Pelodiscus sinensis: one gene and its partners. The protein of the gene in region 1 interacts with the protein of each later gene in a biochemical or structural test. Links are inferred from orthologs where the notes say so. Each region holds a gene or a part of one and is shown in the gene's direction. Other genes may lie near its edges. The genes, in order: RNF7, UBE2S and UBE2F.

The links.
Region 2: the proteins of RNF7 (region 1) and UBE2S form a complex in vitro, tested with the Homo sapiens proteins (3 studies listed by BioGRID). The link is inferred for Pelodiscus sinensis from reciprocal best matches to the Homo sapiens genes RNF7 and UBE2S.
Region 3: the proteins of RNF7 (region 1) and UBE2F form a complex in vitro, tested with the Homo sapiens proteins (10 studies listed by BioGRID, with this or other methods). The link is inferred for Pelodiscus sinensis from reciprocal best matches to the Homo sapiens genes RNF7 and UBE2F.

The regions. Positions count from the first base shown.
Region 1 is NC_134720.1:20,848,674-20,852,418, forward strand, and holds the start of RNF7 (RING-box protein 2), read left to right. Parts: upstream 1-1,490; 5' UTR 1,491-1,550; coding exon 1,551-1,728; intron 1,729-3,745. UniProt on the Homo sapiens protein: Catalytic component of multiple cullin-5-RING E3 ubiquitin-protein ligase complexes (ECS complexes), which mediate the ubiquitination and subsequent proteasomal degradation of target proteins.
Region 2 is NW_027465849.1:3,530,430-3,534,174, forward strand, and holds the start of UBE2S (ubiquitin-conjugating enzyme E2 S), read left to right. Parts: upstream 1-1,147; 5' UTR 1,148-1,221; coding exon 1,222-1,350; intron 1,351-1,481; coding exon 1,482-1,629; intron 1,630-2,956; coding exon 2,957-3,147; intron 3,148-3,745. UniProt on the Homo sapiens protein: Accepts ubiquitin from the E1 complex and catalyzes its covalent attachment to other proteins. Catalyzes 'Lys-11'-linked polyubiquitination.
Region 3 is NC_134717.1:61,530,172-61,533,916, forward strand, and holds the start of UBE2F (NEDD8-conjugating enzyme UBE2F), read left to right. Parts: upstream 1-1,061; 5' UTR 1,062-1,218; intron 1,219-3,745. UniProt on the Homo sapiens protein: Accepts the ubiquitin-like protein NEDD8 from the UBA3-NAE1 E1 complex and catalyzes its covalent attachment to other proteins. Together with the E3 ubiquitin ligase RNF7/RBX2, specifically neddylates cullin-5 (CUL5).

The DNA.
Region 1 (3,745 bases):
ATAATTGCGCTCAAAAGCAAAACAACTTACAAATTTAGAGTCTATTAGTCTACTCAGTCCTACTTCTTGTTCAAGAAATCACTTAGAGAATGAAGCCTGTTTACATTTATAGGAGATAATGCTGTCCACTTATTTGAAGTGTCACCTGAAGGTGGGAACAGGTGTTCCCATGGTACTTTTGTAGCGGCATTGAAAGGCATGTGTACCAGATATGCTAAATATATGTATGCCCCTTTATGCTTTAACCACCATCCCAGAGGACATAATTCAATGTTGATAATGCTCATTAGAAAAATGCATTAATTTTTGTCTTAATTCCTTGAGATATGTCTCCTGCTCTGTTTTGCCTGCATTCTGCCATATATCTCATGTTGTAACAGTTTCAGATGATGAGCCAGCATGTGTCTATTTTAAGACTGCTTTCACTGGCAGATTTCACAAAACGCAAAAAAGGTACCAATATGGCATTTCTAAAGACAGCTGCAGCACTGGAACCTATATTTAAGAATTTGACACTCCTTCCAAATTGTTAGGAGTTGTGGAGCATTGTTTCAGAAAAAGCAAAATTCTGATGAAGAAACTATACAACCCAAACTATTTCCTACCCCTGGTTTAAAATCTGCCCCATGATCTAAAAAGGTAGAAAAGGGTCATTTGACCCTTGCAGCAACATCTGTCCAAATTGAATAAGGACTTGATATAGTGTGCTGTGTGTTGCTGATCATCATGGCTATGTCTAGACTGGCATGATTTTCCGTTAAAAGCATTTGCGGAAAAGAGTGTCTAGATTGGCACGGACGCTTTTCCACAAAAGCACTTTTTGTGGAAAAGCGTCCATGCCAATCTAGACGTGCTTTTCTGCAAAAAAAGCCCCGATTGCCATTTTTGTAATCGGGGCTTTTTTGCGCAAAACAAATCTGAGCTGTCTACACTGGCCCTTTTGCGCAAAAGGACTTTTGCCCGAACAGAAACAGCATAATATTTCTGCAAGAAGCACTGATTTCAGGCAGTAGGAAGTCAGTGTTCTTGTGGAAATTCAAGCAGCCAGTGTAGACAGCTGGCAAGTTTTTCCGCAAAAGCAGCTGCTTTTGCAGAAAAACGTGCCAGTCTAGACGCAGCCCATGGGAGTGTCTGTTCCACATAATACCAGAGGAGATGGAAGATATCTGTTTCTGAAGCTTCTATTCCTGCTCTCTCTGTTGCGGACCTGTTGTTCCCAAGTTCCTGATTACTGGTCAGCTGTTCCTTGTTCTTGTGTGGTGGGGTCCCTGGCCTAACACTGAAGTGGGTGGATTTTAACTTTTTAACTGTGATTAGTGGTTGTTCTTAGCAGACGGCCGTAGTTGACAGATGCTAATTTAAGGGCTTGCTGCAGCTGGTCCCCGCCTCCGCTCCCGGAGCGGCGCGGCTGAGGGGTCGAGGTCCCCGTGCCTCCCGTGTGCCCCAGCTCAGCTGGCCGCGCTCCGGGCGCTGGGCGGCGCTGCAGCCCCGCTCTGCCGGCTGGGAGAAGCCAGAGCGGCGCCGCCGTCGCAGCGTCTCCGCCCCCCGCCATGGCCGACGTGGAGGACGGAGACGAGCCGGTCGCCCCCCACTCCCACGCGGGCTCCTCGGGCTCCAAGGCGGGCGCTGCCGACAAGATGTTCTCGCTGAAGAAGTGGAACGCGGTGGCCATGTGGAGCTGGGACGTGGAGTGCGACACGTGCGCCATCTGCCGGGTGCAGGTCATGGGTAAGCGTCGGCCGGGCCCGGCCTGCTCGCTGCCCCTTCCCAAAGGGGAGGAGACCCCCGTATCCTGGGGGGAAGGGCTGTATCTCCTCGCTGCCACCCCCGCGCAGGCAGAGCCTCACGTATGACAGGCCTGTTTTTCCTCACTGGCTGGCGCCACACCAGCAGAGCCCCACAACTTGGAGGGGGGGGGGGCTTGTATCTCCTCACTGTCCCCTCTGGAGGGCGTGTATGTCCCCTTGATATTCTGGAGTAGGAGGGGGGCTGTACCTTTCCCCCCCCCCATAGGAAGAAACCCACATCCAGGGGCGAGGGGCTGTATAGTCTCACTGCCCCTTACCACAGGGAGAGCCCCAGGTAGTGGGGGCCTGTATAGCCTCACTGATCCTTCCTCACATGGGGAAAGCCCCACATCTTGGGGCTATCTGAATCTCCTCATTCCCCATCTTCTCCCCCTCCCCCAGGGCAGAGCTCCATATCCTGGAGGGGCTGTCACTTTTCACTACTCTCCTCCCCCCCACCTCAGGCAGAGTCTCACATCGTGGCAGGGAGAGAAGCTGTATCATGTCACTGATCGTCTCTCCCTGGTACAGATGTGAACAATTAACCAGTTATTTGGTAAGCATCCCCTTTACTGGGTGATGCACTGGTACCCAAGAGCAGCCCCCCATTCGTAGCCTATCCTGGGTAGAAGGCAGCTCTAGCCCTACAGGGCCCTGGAGTAGAAGCTAGCCACCCAGTGTGGGGTGGGGGCAGGGCGCAGAAGCTGAGGTCAGTCCTCGCCCGTCCCCCCCATATGGCTACTTGTTTCTGCTCCCATTCCCCTCAGCCAGGAGCCTCACACACAGGGGGTGACAGCCCACTTAATGGCTTAACCAGTTGAACCTAAAGTTTAACTGGTTAACTAATTAACCAGGATTTAACATATCGACTCCTTGGGGAGAACCCTGCAGAGCTGAGGCCCTCACTGCATTCCTCCCCAGGAAGACCAGGATTTCTGTTAGAGCTTGAATAGACTGGTTTCCTTCTTCCCGGCGCTGACATGTTTGCTGGGACAATACCAAACCCCACAGATGGGGTCACTGAGCAGTTGTGTACCTGCCCTTAATTTTTACAGGGACTCCCATTTATATAGTGCTTAATGTCCTACCTCCGAGTTTGTCCTATGCCTAGTAGAAATTGCATAGAGGATCCTGTGCTTGTACCAATGGCTGATGTAGATCTCTGTGTGTTTGTACCAGAAATAAATCATTAGATGCCTCACCTAAGCAATCAGTTTTAACCTGTAATATTCATACTGTTTATTTCCTGAAATAAATTGCGGTTGCTTGACATGGCCCAGCATCTATCATATAGTGAGGAAACAGAATAAACAGCCTCTCAGTAGTAGGGATGTTAACAGATGAGCCTGAGCTCATCAGTTAATGCGCATAGTTACACGTAGCCCCTCCTCCCCTGCATTGCTGCCTCTGATACAGGGAGCTGGTGTGAGCTGGTGCATGTGGGGAATGGGCTTAAAATTTGGCTCCCTGTGAGCACCAGCTCCTGCCTGCACTCCCCTCCCTGCTTCTGCCTGTGATAAAAGCAGCGAGGTGGGAGGGATGTGGTGCTGTGGGAGCTGGTACGTGTGGGGAACCAGCTTTTATGCCAGCTCCCTGTGTATATAGGATCCTGCCTCCCTCTTCCCCTGCTCCCCAATAGAAGCAGTGAGGAGGGAGGCAGATAGCTCCCCAGGAGCTAGTACTCTTGGGGAGCCTGCCTAAAAGTTATCTCTCCATGAGTACTGGCTCCTGCCTCCACCCCCACTTCTCACCCACTGCTGCCTCTAATATAGAATATTATAGTTGTCTGGAATGTTGTGTTCATCCTTCTGGGGCATCTGGTATTGGCCACTGTCAGCAGACAGGATACTGGGGTAGACCTTTAGTTTGATCCAGTATGGCTGTTCTTTTGGGGCTGGAGCGGGGGCTTGCACGTAACCGTGAATGTTAACTGATGAGCTGAGGTTCATTGGTTAACA
Region 2 (3,745 bases), on another chromosome or scaffold:
CCTGGCACTGGCTTGCTGAGGGCTTAATTGGAGGCCAGTGTAATGTCCCTGGTTGGCTGTAAGGGGAGGGAGGGTATAAAACTGATTTGGTTAGACATTGGGGACGGGGGAGGTACTTGGGGGTCCCCCTTGAGCCTGTCTTGTGTCTCCGGCTCTTGTATGCCAGTCCAGGGCTGTGGTGAGTTAGTGGGTCTCAATCTGTCACCTCCAAAGCACCAAAAAAGGGACCTCAGCTGGCTGAACAGACCCTAAAGTTTCCCCAGGGCAGCTGGATCTGAGGCCCGCGGGCAGCTGACCCTGCTGTCTCTTCATAAAGATGCCTCTGATCTTGGATAGCCGTGTGCGGGGGGCCAAATCCACCCCTTCCTCTGGCTCGGGGGCTTCCCCTAACCCCGGCAGAGACCTTGAAGGGCCTAAGACCCAAACCTGCCTCTCCTGAGAGCTCCTGGCCTTCAAACGGGCTCGCTTGAGGATGCAAGTAGACGGGGCTTCTCCCTCTCCCGAAATCTTACACGGGGCCCTAGCACAACAGGGGCCTCGTCCTTGTTAATGACTAAAGAAGGGGGGGACCTTTGGATGGGTCTCCAGCTGTTCAATTTCTTTGAAGCCCCCCGAGCTGCCGTAGGGGGTCAGGCTAGGAGAGGTGTCTGTGCTCTTGTGCGCCACATCTTACTGGGCCTGCAGACTCAGGAGGATGCTGCTGCTTGATAAAGTTCGAGGGAGGGGGACTGAATTGCAGGCCCCCCCCATTATGAGAGCCTGTTTTCGCTGGGGGCAGCAGGGATTTTGCTCCCTCGCTTCTGGGGGTGAAAACGGGACACAGGTTCCAGCTGGCCCCACGGACCGGCCCCTGGAATCTGCCTGGTAAAGCCAACCTGGGTCCCCAGGTGGCAGCGGTTTGGGGGGAGATCCCAAGATGGGCGGGGGGGGGGGGGAGTGATAGAAGCTTTTCTGCTTTTCTTCTCTGGCCTTCGTCTTTGCCAGAGCAACTTGTCCTGGGTCCCATGACCTGGTCTTGGTGCCAGTGGGGCTTCCCTGGTGCACCAAGTGGGGCAGGGGCTGAGTGAAGGGTGCCCGGGAGGGCCCCACAGCTCATGGGGGGGGGGGGGGATTGCCAAGGCTCCATGGGGGCTGCACTTCACCCCTTCTAGGGGAGTGAGCTCTTGGGTCTCCATATCGACCTGGACCGGGCAGGGAACTCTAGGAGGCCCTGGGACCTGCATGGGGCGGATTGGGGGGCTCGTTATGGGGCGCGCGCCTCTGTCAGTGCTGACATCAATGTCCCTGGCACGGTTCCGCTGCTCCAGGGTCCCAGTGCACGTGCTTGTCCTGCTCCCGGCCGCTTTCCAGGTCAGCAGCTCTGGTGGAGGGGGAGTGCAGCGGGTGGGTGGAGCGAGCAGGCCCACGGTTAGCCGAGAGCCCACGCGCCGGCCAGCTCACCCCCCCGGCCTGTGACACGCCCCCGTCTGTCTCCCCCACAGAACTCGAACGTGGAAAACCTGCCGCCTCACGTCATCCGGCTGGTCTACAAGGAGGTCTCCACCCTGACGTCGGACCCTCCGGAGGGCATCAAGGTCTTCCCCAACGAGGAGGACATCACAGACGTCCAGGTCACCATCGAAGGACCTGGTGAGATGGGGGTGGAGCTGGCTGTGGGGGGGTGTGGTCAGTGGCTACAAGGGGGTGGAGCTTTCCTCAGTGCTCCCAGTCTAGGGATGTTAAATATCAGTTCACTGAACAGTCGAGTAACCTCAAGAATTCTTCTCGGTCACTCAGCTATTTTGTAGTCCCCTGGGGTGGGGCTGGCAGCGAGTGTGCTCCAGCCCCACTCCCGAGGAACCCCCTGCCACGCTGCCACTGCTGCTGGATCAGAGGCAGCAGCGGGGGGGGCTGGTCCATGAGGGGAGCCAGTTTAAAAACCAGCTCCCCATGTGGACCGGTTGCCTGTCACCCCGTGCTGCTGCCTCTGATGCAGAGGCAGCAGCATGGGGTGGCAGCAGCCCCTGTCTTGGAGGGGGGAAGAGGGGTGGTCTAAGTTCCCAGACCTGTCGCAAGCCAGATTTGAGCTGGGCTGCCCGCCTGCCCGGCTCCTAATACACTTGAAATACAGATCCTGCAGCAGGGGTAGATCCTGGACCCGTCATAAAGTCAGGACTGAGCCGGGCTGCTGGCCAGTCTGCTAAAATATGTACTGGCAAGTGGGGGGGAGGAGAGAATGGGTGTAGTCTACAGCAGTGTTTCTCAACCAGGGGTACAGGTACCCTTAGGGGTACTCAAGAGATGTCTGGGGGGTACGTCAGCACCACTGACACCTGGAGAAAACTGAATGTTTGTTTTCAGTTGTACAGCGCTTGATTCTTTTTGTACTTTTTACACTCAATGTTTATCACCTGCCCGTTTAAACACACGTGTTGCGATGGTGGAAAAAAATTGTCTGAAAACTGTAGGTACTGGGGGCACTTCTAATTTTTTTTTAAAGGGGCACTTTATAAAAACAAGGTTGAGGAACACTGGCCCTATCGCGTTAGCCTCCAAGCTTTTGCATACCATGCTGTTGCATCCCTACCCCAGGCACCCTGCCTGCTCCTGTCTGAGGCAGGGAAGTGGATCTCTGCCTGAGGAGGGCGCTGTGATCCCTGGGTGCTTGTGGGGGGCACTCAGACCCGGGGGCAATCCCCACCCAGTCCTGCTGGCCCTGTGCAGTGCGGAAGGCAGCCCCCCTCAGACTCCTGGTCTTGGCAGTCACTGGTGCCCAGGAGCTGGAAGTAATTACTCTGCAGTGTCACAAGGAGTATCTACTTCCTGTCCCAGGGCCCTTCCCCAAAGGGGGCTGGCGCCTCCAGCCCGGAGCAGGGCCCCCTGGGATGTGGGGGCTGTTCTGGGAGCGAGCTGGGGGTGGGGCTGTGCCCTGGGACGTGGGGGCGAGCCCATCTCACCCGCTCGGCTCCCTTGGCAGAGGGGACACCCTACGCCGGAGGCGTCTTCCGGATGAAACTCATCCTGGGCAAGGATTTCCCGGCCGCGCCACCCAAGGGCTACTTCCTCACCAAGATCTTCCACCCCAATGTGGGCGCCAACGGCGAGATCTGCGTCAACGTCCTCAAGAAAGACTGGAAGGCCGAGCTGGGTATTAAGCACGTGCTGCTGGTAAGCAGGGGGGGGGGGGGGGGGGGGGGACGGACGACGGCGCCGGTGCCCTCCCCTGGCTTGGGCCCCGGTGGGGGAGGGGGCTCTCTCCCTGGCAGGCCGGGCTGTGCCTGCTAGGCTGGCACAGAGCTCCAGCAGTGCGGCACCCTAGGAGGGGCGAACACCCTGAGGCCCGGCCTGCGGAGTTCCTGGCGCCATTCACACCGGGCAGCTGCAGGCTTGGACACCTGAAAGGGACCCCCTGTTTCGAACTCTGCCGGCCGATCCCTCCAGGCAGCCCCCTCCTTCCCTCCGGCCGGGGACGCACTGTCTGCAAATTCCCTTCTGCAGCTCCCCCCAGGCCTGGCCTGCCTTTCCAAGTGATGTCGCCCGCCGGGTTGGGTGGGGGGAATGGCTTCTGTCCATCTCACTACGGGGGAGCGGGGGGGTGTTTTCTGGCAGCTGCAGGGTTGGACTGCAGGGTATAGTCGCTGCTGGTCCGTGCCTCAGTTGCCCCTCGCCAGAGGGAGTCGCAGGTGCTGGGAAAGTGATCCCCAGAAGCCAGCGGAATCTGGCCACCCTGTGGGTGGGCACTGGCGAGCAGGGTGTCTCGTGGGCC
Region 3 (3,745 bases), on another chromosome or scaffold:
CCAGAGGTTTAAATTTGTCTAAATCTGCAAGTGCTTTTTTTCCATCATTTTGTGTAAATTTACATAACTAGATCATTCAAGATGTCAAAACACTAGACAGCCTGAGATGCACTCATCCCTAATGAGAACTCATTACAGCCTCATTATGCAGTCTGCCAATCATTACTATGTGCTCGATTCTAACTTTTTTTCAGAGAAGGGAGGTAGGGTGTGTGCGTGTGGAGTGGGAGGGGTAGAGGGTGCATGAGCAGGCTGAGGGTGCGTTAGCTGTGATTCTGGCACTTGTGCGGGATGGGGGCATGGCTGGAGCAGTAGAGGAGCTCCCCACTGCAGAAGGGGGCAACTTGCAGCACACCTGCAAGACTGAGTGATCCCGAGACCATGCTTTGAGAAGCACTGCTCTATATAAATCTATGGTACACCCGTATCTCAACTACTGTGTACAAATGTGGTCACCTCATCTCAGAAAAGGTTCAGAAATGGGGGCACACAAAACATTGAGGGGTATGGAACAGCTGCCACAGAAGGAGAGATTAATAAGACTGTGTCCTTTAAGCTTAGAAAAGAGAGACTAAGGTGATAAAATCATGATTGGGGTGGAGAAAGTAAATAAAGTGATTTACTCCTTCCCATCCCATGGGTCATCACTGACCCAGTGCAAGGAACGTTGGGTTGTTAAGCCAACAAAAGGAAGCATTTCTTCACGCAAGGCCTGGTTAACCTGCAGAACGCCTTGCCGCAGGACGTGGTCAAGCCTTTACTAGGGCTCCACAAAAGAACAGAGGCGTTCCTGGGACAGGGCCCGCAGGGGTCACGCGCCGGGTCGCTGCTCTGACCCAGCCTGGCCGCGCTGGGGTGGAGCGAGCGTGGGAGACGCGCAGGAGGGGGCGGGGCCTCTGCCGCCGGCACCAGACAAGGGGCGGGGCCTCCGGCCGCTTCCGGCTCAGGCCCCGCCCCTGCGGAGGGATCTACCCTGCGCGCGGAGGCGGCGGCCGTGAAGGCGCCGGTCGGACGGTTCCGGCCCGCGCGGCAGCTCCCGGGAGCCACCGCCGCTCTCCGCGGGCCCGACCGGCGCTGCCGGTCCCACGCGCCCCGGAAGCGGAAACGGCCCCGGTTTGTGCTTCCGGGCAGCGCTGGGGGCGGTCCCGCCCCTCCCCCCGGAGCGGCGCCGCGCGGGCTGGAGACGCCTGGGCCTGCGCCTTCCCCCCTCCGCTGCCGGTGAGTGCGGCCCCCCCCGAGGGGGACTCGGACCCTGCCCCCCCGGGCCGGGCTGGCGGGGCCCCGAGTGGGCGCGCACGGGCCTGCCGGGGGGGGGGGGGCAGTTACCTCAGGAGCGAGCCGGGCTCCCCTCCCCCAGCGAGCGCCCGCGCCGCCTCCCCTCCGTCCGGAGAAACACGGAGCCCCCCCCCCCCCCCCGGCTCGCTCTGCCGGGCAGGGTTACCCCCCCCCCCCCCCGGGGACTGGCCGCCAGGGGTCTTGTGGCTGCTGGAAGCCCCGAGACTGATTCGGGGCCCCGCTTGAACCTGCAGCTGGCGGGTGGGGTCCGCCCACGAAAGCTGGTGCCCAAATAAATCTGTTCGTCTCCAAGGGCCGCGGGGCTCCTCCTTGTTTCTGCGGACCCAGGCTAACATGACCCCTCTGGTACTAAGCAACTGAGTCTTGTGGGATCCGGCTTAGAGGCTGCTATCCCCTGCATTTCTGGTCCCTGTAATATGCCACAAGTATGATGTGTGATGGTCTATAACTTGATAATTGAAGTCTTTGCTCTTTTTCTTCAACAGTTCCATTTTCTTGTTTAAAGTCTTCGTTACTGAGTCAGTGCGCTGACATTTTTGAGGTTATGAAGTTTCTATATACAGCCAAACTGGATGCGCCCTCCTTTCTCCCCAGATTATTTTTTTAATATCTGCTTTTATAGATGCACTATCTGGACCTAATTTTGTCTCTAGCTGTCTATTATGAATAGGGCTGTACGAAATTCATGATCCATGTTGGTCAAGTTCATAGGAATTTAAAAATTTGTAAATTTCGTTATTATTTAAATTTGAAATGTCATGGTGATGTAACTATGGGAGATCCTGACCCCCAAAAAAAGAGTTTTGGGGTGATTGCAAGATTATTATAGGGGTGATTGCAGGAATACTATCCTTTCTTCTGTGCTGCTGTTTGGTGATGGTGGTGTCTTCAGAGCTGGGTAGCTGGAGAACGGTGGCTGCTTTCTTGGAACGAAGCACTAAAGGCAGAGCCAGTACCAGCAGCGGTGCAGCAGTAAGGATGGCATGGTATGATCATAGAATCATAGAATAATAGGACTGGAAGGGACCTCGAGAGGTCATCGAGTCCAGCCCCCCGCCCTCAAGGCAGGACCAAGCTCCGTCTACACCATCCCTGACAGATGTCTATCTAACCTGTTCTTAAATATCTCCAGAGAGGGAGATTCCACCACTTCCCTTGGCAATTTATTCCAATATTTGACCACGCTGATAGTTAGGAATTTTTTCCTAATGTCCAATCTAAACCTCCCCTGCTGCACTTTAAGCCCATTACTCCTTGTCCTGTAACCAAGAGGAACAAATTTTCTCCTTCCTCGTTGTGACACTCTGTTAGATATTTGAAAATTGCTATCATGTCCCTCCTTAATCTTCTTTTTTCCAAACTAAACAAGCCCAGTTCATGAAGCCTGGCTTCATAGGTCATGTTCTCTAAACCTTTAATCATTCTTGTTGCTCTTCCCTGTACCCTTTTCAATTTCTCCACATCTTTCTTGAAATGTGGCGCCCAGAACTGGACACAGTACTCCAGCTGAGGCCTAACTAGTGCAGAGTAGAGCAGCAGAATGACTTCACGAATTTTGCTTACAACACACCTGTTGATACAACCTAGAATCATATTTGCTTTTTTTGCAACAGCATCACACTGTTGACTCATATTCTACTTGTGGTCCACTATGACCCCTAGATCCCTTTCCGCCATCCTCCTTCCGAGACAGTCGCTTCCCATCTTGTATGTATGGAACTGATTGTTCCTTCCTAAGTGGAGCACTTTGCATTTGTCTTTATTAAACCTCATCCTGTTTACCTCTGACCATTTCTCTAACTTGCTAAGGTCATTTTGAATTATGTCCCTATTCTCCAAAGAAGTTGCAACCCCACCCAGTTTGGTATCATCTGCAAACTTAATAAGAGTACTCTCTATCCCAATATCTACATCATTGATGAAGATATTGACCAGTACGGGTCCCAAAACAGACCCTTGCGGAACTCCACTTGTTATCCCTTTCCAGCAGGATTTAGCACCGTTAACAACAGCTCTCTGACTACGGTTATCTAGCCAATTATGCACCCACCTTATCGTGGCCCTATCTAAGTTATATTTGCCTAGTTTATCAATAAGAATATCATGCAAGATCGTATCAAATGCCTTACTAAAGTCTAGGTATATGACATCCACCGCTTCTCCCTTATCCAAAAGGCTCGTTATCCTATCAAAGAAAGCTATCAGATTAGTTTGGCATGACTTATTCTTCACAAACCCATGCTGGCTATTCCCTATCACTTTATTACCTTCCAAGTGTTTGCATATGATTTCCTTAATTACCTGCTCCATTATCTTCCCTGGGACAGACGTTAAACTGACCGGTCTGTAGTTTCCTGGGTTGTTCTTATTCCCCTTTTTATAGATGGGCACAATATTTGCCCTTTTCCAGTCTTCTGGAATCTCCCCTGTCTGCCATTATTTTTCAAAG